2 linked regions of the Struthio camelus genome follow. The protein of the gene in region 1 purifies or fractionates together with the protein of each later gene. This does not show direct contact. Links are inferred from orthologs where the notes say so. Each region holds a gene or a part of one and is shown in the gene's direction. Other genes may lie near its edges.

Evidence for each region.
Region 2: the proteins of RPP40 (region 1) and RPP25 purify together in Homo sapiens (affinity purification with mass spectrometry; 3 studies listed by BioGRID and IntAct, counting the BioPlex papers as one, with this or other methods). This does not show direct contact. The link is inferred for Struthio camelus from reciprocal best matches to the Homo sapiens genes RPP40 and RPP25.

Annotation. Positions count from the first base shown.
Region 1 is NC_090943.1:103,784,217-103,792,245, forward strand, and holds the start of RPP40 (ribonuclease P protein subunit p40), read left to right. Parts: upstream 1-4,947; 5' UTR 4,948-5,106; coding exon 5,107-5,232; exon of another isoform or gene 5,233-5,745; intron 5,746-5,888; exon of another isoform or gene 5,889-5,975; intron 5,976-6,957; coding exon 6,958-7,102; intron 7,103-8,029. UniProt on the Homo sapiens protein: Component of ribonuclease P, a ribonucleoprotein complex that generates mature tRNA molecules by cleaving their 5'-ends. Also a component of the MRP ribonuclease complex, which cleaves pre-rRNA sequences.
Region 2 is NC_090953.1:23,324,462-23,331,478, forward strand, and holds RPP25 (ribonuclease P protein subunit p25), read left to right. Parts: upstream 1-4,478; 5' UTR 4,479-4,836; coding exon 4,837-5,487; 3' UTR 5,488-6,500; downstream 6,501-7,017. UniProt on the Homo sapiens protein: Component of ribonuclease P, a ribonucleoprotein complex that generates mature tRNA molecules by cleaving their 5'-ends. Also a component of the MRP ribonuclease complex, which cleaves pre-rRNA sequences.

The DNA of each region.
Region 1 (8,029 bases):
AAAATTAATGATTTATTGGTGGGAATTGTGAATCCTCTCCCTTCAAGCAGACTGAAAACTTGATTTACTGAAACAGGAAGAAATTACTCTGCTCTGATCTTAACAGAAGAAGCATCCCAGTTTGAATACTTTTAAAATTTCAGCACAGACTTTCCTTTAAAAGGAAAGGAGGAAATGTTTCTCTTTGCTTTGGATTCTGCATTTTCATGAAGGTGCACTAAAAGAACAGCATGCCCTGCTGGAATCCCAGGATCAGTACTAACATTACTGGAAATACAATGCTCTTAAGGACATATCCAAGGCAATGTTTGCAGGGGCAGGTAATATCTATTAATAGATGAATTGATGTAAGTGGAAAAATTATGTACAGGTTGAGAACAAAACTGCTCTGAGTTTAATTTTGATCATGTTAATTGGTTAGACGACTTGAGGAAAAAAAGGTGGCTGTTATCTACAGAGCTAGGGGAGGAGGATTTAGCAATGCAAAAGGCAGCAGTGTTTCCCTGTTTTGTTATTGGACAAGGAAACAGACACATATTTATTGCCTATCCAGGGTTTTATTGCCTATCCAGGGTTTAGCTGGATGGAGGCTGTGTGGAAACATTCACTATGACATTTCCTGAAAAAAGAGCGAGCAACCAGGGGAACATGGCCACAGTTCATTCCCTTCTGCAGAAAGCGCAAAGAGAGAAATATACTCCAACTCTTCCCCGTATGCTGTGGAATACCTTGCCCCAAGGGGCATCTTGTAAGAATGCACGTGCCTTGCCACTGCCATAATGTGAACAACAATGAGATATCTGGTTGGGTGGAGAGAGCAATTGCATGAAGATTTCCCATCACCATGCAATGATAAACCAAAATCTAATCCTTAGAAGGCATGTAAAGACTCTCCCTAAATATAGATCAAAAACACTTCCACTTCCCAGAAGATTGTGAGATGAATTACCCATCTAATTAATTGTCCCACTTTAGTGTCACTAGAGTGAGTGAGTGAGTGAGTGAGTGAGTGTGAGGTTTACCAGATTACAGGGTTTTTTTTGTTTAATTCTAAAAGAAACAGATTTTTTTGTTTTTAATAGTATTTAAACCAAAACCAGCAACTCAGTCCATGGTTAGCATTCAATGTTCTTCCTGGCTTGAAAAGCTTCTTTGGGGAGCAGCTTGGCAGAAGATTTGTTTGTAATCCCCTAGAAAAACAAGTCTGAGTGGGATCCCTTTTACATTCACCACTGCTCTGAACATTTGGACCTGGGTGTGTAAAAACAGCATACCAAGCTAACTATCCACAGCTTCACCATCTTTCCACTTTCCTCAATGAAAAAAGCAGTCAACACTGATCAAGTAAAATGCCATTTTTCAGTTAGTCTTAACATTACAACCTAACAGTGAGTCTTATACACTTTATTAATTTCAGATAAACATGGCATCAGGGAGATCTGTTTGTTTCTGTTTTATAAAGTACTGATTACAATGGCCAAGGCTAAAAGATTTAGACAACTTCTTTTTTTTTGTAATCAACAATATTTAAAAAGAAAAAATAGTGACTAGAAACAAAAAAATTGGGATGGAGTGTAAAATCATAAACCAAATTCAACATGCATGTGACAAACGCTTTTAAGATCTGATTGTACACAACTGTAAGTATCTTATCATGCAAAATTTTTATCACAGAAGAAGCACCAGAATGAATGTTAGGATTGCTTTTCAATAGTGAAACAATGCATGAAAGAAATAGTTGGCTTTTGCAACAAGAAATAGTCTCTGTAATGTGAAGATCAGGCTTTTCTTTCCAAATTCAGTCATTTTAAACAAAACCTGAATAAAATTTTTACTAGTTCCAGGAAATATTTTAGAGATCCTACCTTACTGTAAGCTATTACTACAGGTTGCCTCAAGGCATTTCTTTCCTCTTGACTACAGCCTGTAACTCTCTTCAAACATGTAGAGACTGAATTGCTGTAAAACTGCATTACCCAGTCTCGGGTTTGAAATTCCTAGGGAAACGGTGATAGCTTTACAGGGACTGAGTCCTTAAATTATTTAAAGTTTGAAATAACCTTTTTTTTTTTTAACAACATACAGAAACCTTACACCTAATTACTCACAAAACTGTAATAATCATTATGAAAATATCAGCATTTATGAACAATCAGCTTACATATATGTAGCCCACTGAATGGACTACTGGGTAAAACCTTCCCCTTTTTTTTTAATGTAGATCACAGTCTCCAGGGAGTTCTCTAAAACAGACACACTGTACAGTAGGATACACAACATATAAGAGAAAGAGGAAGTTAATTTTGATTATCTGATAGGTGAAGCAAACTGCCTGAACAGTGACATGAATCCTTCACCGAGCTGCAGTGAACTGTACTCTTGCCAAGATCCCTGAAATGCTATGCTGAATATGTAACTGTGCCTCTTGACTGTTACCCCTTCCCCAGCATATTTTTTTCCATATTTCTCCTCCTATTTATTTTTATCCCCAGCAGGAAGTATAAATTGTATCAGCATAAAGAAGGTCACAAAAAACAAACGAATAAAATCCACCAACAACAGCCCCACAATTCCACAGGCTGCCTTGAGTATGGATGAATTTCCTCTTTGGATCTCTGGGCTTATTGATCAGGGACTTGAACTTTTCACCCCTTTAGTAGAACAGAGGTCTTCTGATCATCACAGTGTAATGCTTGTCTGCTCACAGAGGTTTCAGCTTTTGGGTACAACAAATGACATTAATCAAGTAGTGTTTTTCCCATTAATTTTGTCATGCTTTAAATTAGAAGGCTACTGTGATTACATATGCAAGAGCCATTTCTGATTTATAATAATCCAATTATTCCAATTTGCAGAGGCAATGTAAGTGCAGAATTCAGACTTTCTCTATAAATGTTAAGCAGCCAGTGACCTCAAGATATGTACTTTAGTCTCACAAGTCAGAGGATTCAGCCACTGAGTCCAGAGCAACACTATCTTAATGATATTTTAGTAAAAAAGCAATTGGGAAGCACATACTCAGAAACGAGCGGGTCTGAATCAGCCTAGTAAGCCAGAAACACTGAACTAGTAACTTCTCAGTAATATCTTTCCTTCCATTAGGCAACTATGGTTCTGTAACACGGAGCTTGCGAAGACCAGCCTTTTCACACTGGTAGCTCTTTATAGTTATTTAGTCGACATCATAGAGACCAAAACGTTGTCAGAACACCAGAAAAGTGCGGCGTCTGCCAGAAGTGGAGCCTAGACACATGCAACACGGCAGCTTGAGCCACAACATAAATTCATCAAACTGGAAATGCATATCTAGAAAACATAAATGCAATATATTTACCCCACTCAAACAGCCAATAACTGATCAGGTAATGAACATGGGTACTTGAATTGTGGCATCAAACCACAGCAATTTGTAACCAGTGAATTAGTAAAATCATTGGAATTTGACGATTCATATCTGCATAACACTGTAGCTGTTAACCAAATGACCTTACCACAGTCTATACCTTAAAACCAATTTAGCAACTAAAACAACCTTTTTCTTTTTTACATTCAATCACCTAGAGGACCTGAGTAATCAAACTCACGTACTCCTGAACTTTAACATCAGACATAAAATCTAGAAATGACAGGTCAAGATCTTCACAGACTGAGCTTGTGATTGCTGGAACCACTGCTGTCAAACTAGTCTAAAAACTGAAGTTCAGCATTACTAGCTTGATGGGTGTTTAGTGAACAGATCTTAGACACATTTTAAGTAAACTTAAATATAGCCTTTCACAGTGCATAGAAAGAGCACAATAAATACCAAAAAAGTTGTTAGGTACCATTTACAATGAAATGAGAGAAAATAAAGTTAGGGGACCACAGAGACAATAACTCAAGTAAGAGGGGATGATGAAATTTTGGGGTATTCTTTATACAAAATACACCATGTAGACAACGATCTGAGAGAGGATGCATTGCAGGCAGTGGTCCACTCCCACTTAAGCACAGTGTTTACTAAACTGAGTAATCCTACCTAGTGTGAGCTGAAGTAAGTAGAAGACTGTACAAGACAGAAGATCTTATTTTCATGATCTTGTAAAACTGCAGATGTTATTATAAATATACTCAGAGTTCTAACGGACCCAATTTTGTCATTATAATTCAGATATTTAGTATATCTCCACAGGGTCCTGATGGCCTCGCATAGCATGTTGATAATGGACTTTCTCACATGGCTCAAACACCTGTGCAGCTTCTTGGGTTTACATATTTTCTGTATTTGTTGAGCATAGAAGAATGGAGGTTGCCCACATGAAAGTAGGTCTGACATCTTGAAGGCTGCCCAACGCCACCAGGCATACCATGACATATTTCTAGCAGTCTCCTCCTTCCGACCAAGCGTCCGTGTCCCCTAAAAACATTCCCCAGCAGGAAACACACCTGCAGGGCCAACGCATCCCCTCCTGATGCCAACGGGGTCCGCTCGCAGCCTTTGGGACTCTGCAGTACCCAAGCTGGTGAGGGGAGCAACGAACAGGTGGGAGATAGGACACAGCTTTGCTGCTGAAGGTGCTGAGGGATAGAGGAGTCGGGGGCCGGTGTCCGGTCCTCCTCGACACCGAGAAGGACGCTCCTGCGTGCAGCTGCGAGCTGCCGGCCTGGGCGAGCCACGCGTCGGTCACCGCTCCCGCTGCCAGCCAGGTGGGCGCAGGCCGGGCCTCAGCCCACCTCCCGCAGGGCCAGGCCGCAGGGCGGCTATTTTTGAAACAAATCCCTTTGTTCGAAAAGCCAAAGCGTGTGAATTTCTGCAGCCGGACTCAGGCCGGGCTTTTTCGGACACCGCCGACCCCAACCCCGCACCCCGCACCCGCCTGCGGGCGTGTGCGACTGGACAGACCCCACCGCCGCCCCGCCGCGCCGCCCCGCCCTCTGCGGCTGCGCATGCGCGCACCTCCCGCCACCGCGGGGCCGACGCAGGCGGAAGTGACCTCCTGGCACAGCTCCTCCCCCCCCGCCCCGCCCGCGCTGCGCTCGTGTGCCTTTCGGGAGGCGGGTGACGTTGCGCGGGGCCGCTGCCCCATTGGCGGCTCTTCCCGCGGCGCGCGGGCCGCGCGGAGCAGGATGTCGCTCCCGCTGCGGCGGCTCCGCCAGGCGCCGCGGCACCTGCTGGTGTGCGAGAAGAGCCACGCGCGGCACGCGCGCTCGCGCCACGCGGCGCACGTGCGGGACCACGCCTACAACTGCCGCGTGAGTGCGCGCGCGCGCGCGCTCGCCCGTCCGGGGTGGACGGGGGGGACGGTTGTTAACGGTCGCTGCCCGTGTTAACCGTCGCGGGAGCGCGTCCGGCGGCCGTTAGTGGCTCTGGGGCGCGGGGAGGAGCCCGCGGGTGAGATGGCCGCGCTGGCGCATGGTGCCCGGTAGCCCCCTTTTACTATGGGCCTTGAACAGAGCGCGGCCAGCCCACGCGGGGCTGCTAACCCACGTAGTTTTCCTGTGGTCAAAAGGCTGAGCTGCTGGAGGGCCCTCTTCCCGAAACAGTCCCTCTCCCGCAGTGAAGCCAAAACAAGCCTTAGCCCGAGCGAAGTGCTCGTGGTTGGGGTTGGTTGGTTGGTCAGAAGTGCGAGGGTGAAGTGGTGGAAGAGGTGACAAAAGTTGTGTGGGGTGAGTGCCGCCGAGAAAGTAACGTGGGTGGCTGTACCCACGAGCGTGTCTCGTCAAAGCAGTGAGGGCTGTCGTGTTTCAGCTGAAGCGTGGCTTCAGGTAAAGGACCTTGAAAATCCCTTCTCCCGTGTTTTATGCGCTTCTCCCAACGTATTGTGTAGTGTCGTTATCAACAGCTGCTTCCTCATTTTAACAACGTAACGCTGCAGTGTCCAATGTTTGCCTGCTTACTGTTGCCTTAGACTGCTGCAAGTTTCAGTCAGATCCCATCTGTGTCCTTGCCTCAGCAATTTTTTGAGTAGCTAACTAAGAAGGTTGCTAATTCGGTGGTAAGTGGCTAATCTGTCAGTTGTTACTCCTCTTGTATGTATGTGTGTGCCAAAGGAGATGCGTACCCATTTTCTGTGAGCCGTTTTGTTTTGGAAAAACTTTTTTCTAGATAAGTGTTTTTAGGGGATGAGGGCGGGGGCTCTCCTGCTAGTGCATGCTTTTTGGGATGCTTGGTACCTGCCCAGGTAGTAAGTTTGTTTGCCATGGACTTAGAAAACCTCTTGATCAGTGAAACACTTACAGCAAAGGCTTTAAACACAGTAAATGGAAATGAATGGTAGGCAATTGGACTGAAAGACTGAGTGCTGAATTTAGTAAGAACAGCTAGATGTTCATCCCTTTTGAGAATTAGTTTCCTAGTTTAAATTAGCAACCTATTACTGAAATCTTAGCCTTAACTAAGCCTTAATCTTAGCCTTTCCTTTTAAAAAAGGAAAAAGACTTTACAATTTTTATGACTATTTTGGCAATCATAAGACCATCTTCAGGTTTTTGTCTGGTGATGTCTTAAATCTGCTGACTTCTGAAGTATTTCAGAGTAGAATGTATTTATTCAAAAAGAAGTTTAAATTCCACATTGATTTTAACTTTTTAATGGAGATTACATAAATGCCTAGCATACATTCCTAATTATAACTGCGTCATGCAACAAGGGCTGAAGGAAATATTCCAAGCTAACTTCATCATGACTTGAAACAAGATCTTCTGTCAAGTCATGCCGTGTAAAATTATCTCATTGTGTAACACATCAAATGCTATTGTATAGCATGTAAAATGCAAAATCCAAATAATTTATTGCTGTACATATGGAGACTTTGTGCAGATTGTTAAATTTTGAAGATAATAACTTAATTTTTTTTCCTTATCTCATTTTGATGTAACATACTGTTCTCTTCAAAAAGAGATTTTCTTTTATATGTCTCTGTTTTCCTCTAGAACAATTTTTGGACATTACTTACATTACAAATGTGTTCCTAATAGGTGTCTTTTTTGATCCCCGAATGTGGCATACTACCTGAAATGCTGAAAAGTACGATTGCAGATGTTGGAGAGTACTATCTGGTGAGGAATTTATTGCTTCATGAATTGGTCACTCATGAATTCATTGATACTTTTGTGAAGAAAGGTAAGGAAGTAATCAAAATATGAAGAATATACAATATTACTGTATTTATCATAACACAGTAAAATGCAGTAATTATTTATTCTGAGAAGTTTTTTAAAGGAATAGAAGAAGTACTAACGAAATTGTGTATGCATTTCTTTATCTGTTTTTTTTTCCTGCTTTCTGGTGTGTCAGCATTTATTTAAACCTGATGGGTCCTTCTGTGATTATTCTGTCCCCTACCTAGTGCCTCCCTACCTCCTCTTTTCTTTTTTTGGGGAAGGGGGGAATTTTGGAATTAGCTTGAGATCCTTCTTATGCAATTTCCTTGTCATGCATATTCTGTATTCCCTCAAAAACACCTTTCAGATGCACAATTTTTTTCCTCTCTCGTTAATGTTATAATTTATTGAGTTCCTACTGAAAAATACAGCATCTCTAGTTCCCATGAAGTCAGCTCTAACCTCATGTAGCCTGACCTCTTCATTTCCCCTATTGCGTCTTAATTCTGCAAGCCAGCTGTCAAGAGTGTTTCCATGTATCCTCTCAATCGTTTACCTTCTACCTCTCATCTTTATGTAGATTCCTGCAGAAATAAGCTCCCTTCTCTCCTGATTCTCTCATAATTCAGCACAAGCCTGTGTTCCACATCTGGCAAAGCCTGGGCTTCCCTTGCAAGAGTAAAAATAGCCTCGCTTTTGTTGCTAGTGGAGCTGTAGCGGGTCATCCTTGAAAAGGAAAAGTAAAGTGGATGTGAGGAAAGATGCAGCCTTTGTCCAGCCAACTTGCTTTTATTGCATACTCACAGCACACTGTCTTCATCTATCAGGCCGCACTTATTTAGCTCAAGATAAATGTTGCTCCCTTCAGATGACTGCCAGAGAGAAAAAAAGCTTTAAAGGGAAAAGAGAGGAGATAAGAGAACATGAGGAAGGAAGAGGAAAATAA
Region 2 (7,017 bases), on another chromosome or scaffold:
CCTCCAGAGCTCCCCATCCACCTGGTACAACTGAACATCTTCCAGAGGGTGATGGCTTGCAAAGCTCCTCCTCTGCTGGGGGCCCCGCTCCCATGACCAGCCATCATTGAACTCCACCTGCACCCATGTCCCCTCCTCCTCCCACCATGATGCCAGGGGAGGTGGCAGGTGCCTGGGAGCCTTCAGGGACACAAGAGAGCAACACTCTGCCCTGCAGCACCACAAACCCTCAGGTACACAGGCTCAGAGGGAAGCAGAGAAGCCAGTTTCTCTGCGAGAGGTTGAGTGAGAGCTACACAGGAGCAAAGTGACCTTCTCCAGGGGCAGAAGAGCCTTGTCACAGGCAGCACGTACCTGGAGGACCAGTTTCTTTTTGGATAGACCAGGGTTGGGCGGTGTTGATGGTGGGAGAGGGCATTTAGGCTGGGATATTTGCTTTAGAAATAAAAGTCCTCTTAGGAGACATCCACCCAGGGGAATCAGGGTGACCAGCACCTTCCACAGGAGGAAGGGGGCAGGGTGGACAAGCAGCTGGCCTCAAGAGGCCCTCCTAGGCATATTTCCTCCATGTACATTTTACACATACCCACTAGCATTTCCATTCCTTTCCCAACCTCTGCCTGCTTCTCTCTTTACAGTTTGCAATCCTCCAGGGCTTCCCTTCCAGAGCAAATGGGAAGCTCTTCCTTCTCAGGGAGGGCTTCTCAAAGGGGCTGGTCACATCCACAGCCACTGTGGGGTGGCCCATGGGATCCAGAGGACTGCTGGGCCTTTGCTGCTCCCTTTGGGTGCTCTGCCCAGTCAGGCTGGCTTGCTCCTTCTTCCAGCCTGGAGCTGGAGTCACTCTGCTGGCCCCCATTGCTCCCACACATGGGAGCTCAAACCCAAGGTCTCTCCCTTTTGGATACTTGCCTGTAATTTGAGGTGTCCAAGAAAGGGTCATTTCCACTGGGGTCCCCAGGGAAGGCTAGTGCCAGCTCTGCCAGGGCACAAGCAAGGGCCAGCAAACACACAACCAGCAGGGCAGGGGCTCCACCAGCCAGGGCCTGGCCCAACCCCACAGGCCCAAGCAGGGCAAACCCAGGAGTCCAGACCAGCAGCAAGCTCAGGCTGAGGAGGCAGAGCCAAAGGCCAGCCTAGGAAGTCAGCCCACAGCTTGGGGTCTGGACCAGCCGCATCCCCAGCCAGGCACAGCTGTGGCCAGGCTGAGGAGCAACACCCCTACAATAGAGTTGATGGCCATAGACTGAACTTAAATGGGCACTGAGGGTGGGCAGGTGGAGGCCCCAGGTGATGCTGGTCAGGGCCATTAAGAAATTTTAGTGCCCTCAGGGCCCTGACAGGTCCCTCTTAAGCTGCTCTTGTCCCTATGCCAGGAAGCCCGGCTCCTGCCCAGCCCCATGGGGAGGGTGCCATCACTGAGGGCTTTCTCTCCAGCACAGAAGGACTGACCTCCACTAGGCCCTGTGATGGACACCAGATTTGCTGACTTGTAGGCTCACTCTGTTGATCCCGGCCCTGTTTGCCTTGCATGTGGTTTCCACGCACGGACCCCCAGGGGTGCACAGCCCCTCGGCAGCACAGGGAGGCGCCCCGGGCCCCGCGTCCTCTCGGCAGACGTGTTGGAGGGCCGTTCCTCCTTGTATTTCTTAGACCGTGGTTGAACGCTGTGGTGACCCCAGCTGCAGGTCTCCTAGTCCTGGGCCAAAGCCCATAGCAGCTGCATAACCCAAAGGGGCAACCTGATACACGTTTCCTTTGCCGGGTAGCACGGGCTGGGATTTGGGGTCATTTCGGTGGGTTACCTGGGGCAAGCGCCGCGCTGAAGGAGCAGGCGGGAGAAAGCCGCCGCGCAGCAAGCCAGCGTTGCTCGCCGCTATTGCTAGCGATTCGGGGACGAGCAGGATCCTTGGCCGCGCCGCCGCCGCCTGCGGGAGCGCGGACGGAAGGACGGGGCTCTGCGCTCCCAGGCCCCGGCTAGGCTCAGGGCAGGCGGCTCGGCCGCCGCGTGCAACGTGATGACCGCCTGAGACCTGAGCCGGGGCGATGTGACGCAGAGATGGACGGCGACTTTCCTTGTATCGGATGCTTCGACTTTCCGAACGACTCCCGCACCTCGCATGAAAGAAAATATAGAGAGGGCAGGCGGAGGACAGGGGCTCGGGTTACGGCACGCTCCTCTCTGCCTCCCTACTCTCCGTTATGAATTTGTTTCCATTTCCCCCCCCGCCGGTCTCGGCCTGAGCCACCGTCACGTCTAGCTCTGCACCCGCTCGCGCTCGCCTTCCCTCCGTGCCCCCGAAGCGCCGCCGGCTCCCGCAGCCTCGGCCGCTGGCCTCGCGCCCGCCCCGACAGCGGCGGATGCTCAGGGAAGACAGACAGACAGGCAGGCAGGCAGGCAGCACGCGGGGCGTAGTTGCTTCGCTCCTCGCTTCTCCATCCCCGCTTTTACCATCTGCCTCTTCCGCATTTTAATCGACTCCCCGCTCTCTCCTGCCCCGGCGTGTCCCCCCCGCAGCCCCGCTCTGCTCCCCTCTCCCGCTCCGCTGCTCTTTATGCATGAGCTCATTGCAGCTCGGAATAACCCCTCCGCTCTGCTGTCCTCCAACAAACAAGCTGACAGGGTAATGAATGGCTTCAGATGGTAATTAGCGGCGGAGCTGCTAATAATGAAATGCATTTGCATTTTAAGCGCTGCCGAGGAACAGCAAGACCCTGCCGCTGCTGCCCCCCCGCCGCGGGGGGAGCGCGCCCTCCGAACCCCTGCTCGCGATGCGGAAACGCTTTAGCGTGATCGCACCTCGTCTCGGAGGCTGCAAACGAGCCGAGTTTGTTAAGCAGCAATTGGGGGGGGGTGAAGCTGCCCGGGATGCAGCATCCGACCGGCGTGGCGCGTCCCGGCACCACGCTGCGCCCAAAACGCGGACCGCCGGCGGCAGGAGTTGGTCCCGGCCCAGGGAGCCTTGGGTGGGCTGGCTCAGCGCCAGGGACTCATCCTGCTGCAAGCCCCAGCCCCGGCTGCGTTCCAGCCTCCGAGGCGCGCTGCATCCGCGCCCGAGCTCTGCGTCCGCCTCGAGCAGCCCAGCGCGCCGGACTCCCGCAAGACGCGTGGCTTTTGTGCCGGAGCAATGTGTTTCTGGAGCTATTTCATCGCTTATGGAGATTTTTTTAATTTCCATGCCTATAAAGTTTATGTGTAAAGTTAACGAGAGCTGCTTTGCCGGTCCTTCGCTCTGAGCCGAGATGCTCTGTGAATGGTTGCCAAAATCCTGCCCATTTATTTTCCTAGTCTTTTAGCCTGAAGATGCATCTCTTAAAGGCAGCAGTTTCCATGAGAGGCTTAATCCATGGCAGCCTGCCGGAGAACGGAGCCGAGCGGCTTATGCAAGGATGTCACAAATATTCATCACATGTAAGGGGAAAAAAACAACATTGTGTTTCCCGGTGCGAGCGAGCGGTTCGCGTTGGAAACGTAGCGCCTAGGCAGGCTCACTGCCGCAGAGCGCCGGGCGGGACTTAGCGGGCGCTCCAAGCCTCCATCCGCCCCCGACGCCGGGTGTGAGCTTGGGCCAACGGCGTCACCTTCCCTGCCTCGGTTTCCCCTGTCTGCGCCAAAGGGATCCAGTCTCCGGCCTCTTTGGGTGCAGCAGCCTTCTCCCTGCAGACCTCGCCGCTAGGCTCTGCGCCCGCCCCGAACGTGGGTCCCTGCGGTGTCCCGAAGCCCCAGCGCTTGGACCCCTGGGTTAGGCAGGTTGTTTGGGGCCCGCAGAGACGTCCTGGCCGGGAAGGGGACCGGCCACGGCCTGCCGTCCCGCAGGTTTCACCTACGTTGGCATCAGGTCGAGTGATTTATTTACGTATTTTTCAAGCCCTGCCAGGGTGAAAACAATCCAGGGGCCTCCAGAGGCCGATAAGATTTGAGTGCAAGTCAATACGCGGGATGTCTTTCCAGTGTGCGATGATCCGCCGGGGGGAGAGGAGGGGACAGGCACGCCGGGAGGTGGCAAGGGCAGCCAAAGGGCCAGCCTCGGCCAGGGACACGGCCTCTTCCCGGGGAGCGGTTCAGGCTCAGCTCTGCGCCGGGCAGGCACGTTTTGGGGGCTCGTCGCTCCCTGGGCGCCCCCAGGGCGGCTTTGCCTGGCAGGCGGCCGCGGGCCGATCCCGAAGGCTGCCCAGCGCCCCGTCCCTGCGTTATCCACGCCGCCCCGTCGCAGCCAGCGCCGAGACGGCCGGCGCGGGGGGGGCGAAGCGACCAGGTTCGCTTTAAGGGGCAGGACTCGGGCGGCGCTGGGAAGCCGAGGGCGAGCGCTGGGCTCTGCCTTCCGCCTTCGCCGGGGCTCGCCGGGCTCCCCGCCGTCGCCCGCTCGCCGGCCCTGGGCGCTGGGGAGCCTCCGCCGGGCGCGGGGCTGGGAGGCTGAGCGAGGGGGGGGGGGAGGAGGAGGAGGAGGAGGGGAGGAAGGGGAGGGAGAGGGGGAGGATCTGCTAATTACACACAACGGCTCTGGGGGCTGCTGAAGTCCAGAATGAAGCAAAGAGCAGCAGAAGCGAGCGCTGCAGCGGGAGCGCAGGAGCCCAGGCATCGCCCAGCGCCGCCGCGAGGACGCAGGGGACACCCCGGGCACCCAGCAGCTCCGGCTCCCCGCAGGACAGCCTCCGGCACCGCCGCCGCGCCAGCTGCTAGCTCCTCCGCAGCCAGCCAAGGACAGCGGTAGGGGCTGGTGGTCCCGGGGGTGCCGCGTCAAACTCGACCTCCTCCGGGCGGGCGGCGGAGGGACCCGCGTCGTGGTGGCCGGGGGCTAGGTGCCCCCTCGGATCCGCGCTCCCCGCCGGCGAGGGATGGCTGCCGGAGGAGGGGGAGCCAAGCCCGTCGCCCAGTCCAGGATGGAGAACTTCCGAAAGGTCAGGACGTCGGAGGAGGAGAGCCCCTTGCCCTTCCCCGACCTGCCGCCCGGCGTGGTGGAGATGAAAGTGAAGGAGGGCAGCAAGATCAGGAACCTGATGGGCTTCGCCATGGCCCAGATGGAGCTGAAGGGCAGCCGGCAGATCGTCTTCAGCGGCTGCGGCAGGGCGGTCACCAAGACCATCACCTGCGTGGAGATCATGAAGAGGAAGCTGGGAGGCCTTCACCAGGTCACCAAGGTACGCTACAAAACCCTGCTGGAGGTGTGGGAGAACAAGGACCCGCTGCCCGGCAGCCCGGCGCAGAACCTCACCGTCCACAAGAACGTGCCCTCCATCTGCATCCTGCTCTCCCGGGACCCCCTGGATCCCACCCAGACGGGCTACCAGCCCCCGGAGCCCGGCGCGGGGCCGCGGGCGGAGGAGAGCCAGGCCGGGGCAGAGGCGCCCAGCTCGTCCGCCAAGGGGCTGAAGAGACCCCCGGCGCCTCCCCGCGAGGAGCTGGCGAGCAAGAAGGTGCAGGTAGAGGTCCCCGACGGCCCCCGGGGCGCCGGCACCGTGGACCTCCAGGCGGGCCACCACCACTGACTCCCCTGGCGCCCCTCGGCCCGGCGAGGGTGCTCGCCCCGCGGGGGCTGCCGCCGGGGCCGGGGGGAAGAGCAGCCAGCGCCCGCGTCTTGGACCCTCCGCGGGGCGCGGGAGCAGGCTGGGGCCGGCGGCGGGTGCTGGTCCCGGCCGGCGGCGGGTGCCGCGGGCCGCCGCAGCCCCTCTGCCCCGCCGGCTCTCCGTTGCACCACCGCCGGCCGGAACGGGGGGGGCCGCGGCGGGTCGGGGCGCGGGACAACCCTCCGGTCCCAAATTTGTTCTCCCCGCCACCACCCTCTGTCTCCAGCACCTCGGGTGTTTCCCCCTGCCCGGCGGGACGGCACCCCGGCCCCCCGCGCAGAGGAAAGCGACGGGGAGGGAGGGGTGGGAACCGGTTAGGGTGGCCTTGTGCTGACCACACGAGCAACGAGTTGCTCGGGTCTCAGCGCTGAGCTCCCCGGCATGCCAGGGGACGGGGCCGATTTGCAGGCTGCCGGCGGGGAACGCGGAGCCCGGGCAGGGCTCTCGCCAGCTCTCCGGGACGGCGCCGGCCCCGCCGCAGGAGCGGGAGCAGCCTTCGCCTTTCGGAGAGGTGCTCCCGCGGGTCCGGCGCCCGCGTGTCGTTGATGCGCGCTGAGATGTCTCCGACGTCAGGCGCGATGGCTTCGCTCAGAGCCCCTTGGAGCAACGCCTTCGTTATCCGAACGGCTTCAGTTACGCCCGGAGACGAGCTGCCAGGTTTATTAAAGCCGGGCTCAGCGCCTCGCGGCTCTGGGATTCGTCCCGAGTACGGCTCGCAAACGAGCAGCCGCCTCGGCTCGGTCCGGGCTCGCGTGGTTTTCGGTCGTCGTTTTTATTCTGCCCTCTGCTCCGAAGCGCCTCGAGCGGGTCCGCGCCGCCCCGGGCGTTTTATCTCCCGGAGGGCTGTTCGCGAAGGCACCCGGCTCCGCTCGGCTCAGGGCTGCGCCAGGCGAAGGCGAGGAGCAGGAGCAGGAGGAGGAGGAGGAGGAGGAGGAGGAGGAGGAGGAGGAGGAGGAAGCCGGGCGTTTTGTTTCGGGCGTTTTGTTTCGCCATGACCTTGTTATCTCCCCGAGCAGACAGCTGCTCCTCCGGCCCGAGGCCTGTGCTTATCTGCCCTGCCACAGATTGATTCCTTTCACTTATCTGCCGCCGTGTAATTGAATATTAATTCCCAGTTGTTGTTGTTTTATTTGCTTTTTAAGCCTTTTGTTTCGTTTTGTTTTCCCAGGCAGGGACAAAGCCGGGGGAGCGGGGGGGAAGTCACGAGACGGGGAAGCTTCCCCTAGCTTGGGAGTTGGTTTTCAGGGTCAGTGTCCTGCTCCGTTAAAAATCCAGTCTTCACTTCTCGGGGGAATACGAGTCCAGCCTCCCTCCCCTCCCAGATCTCTGCTCGGAAGATGCCAAAAGATGTGGTTTTGGGGACAGGGACGGCAGGGGCCGCGGGGCTGTAACTGTGCAGAGCTCCTCTGCTCTTTTTGGCGTTTTAAGTCTCTTTGTTTTGATGCAGAAAAA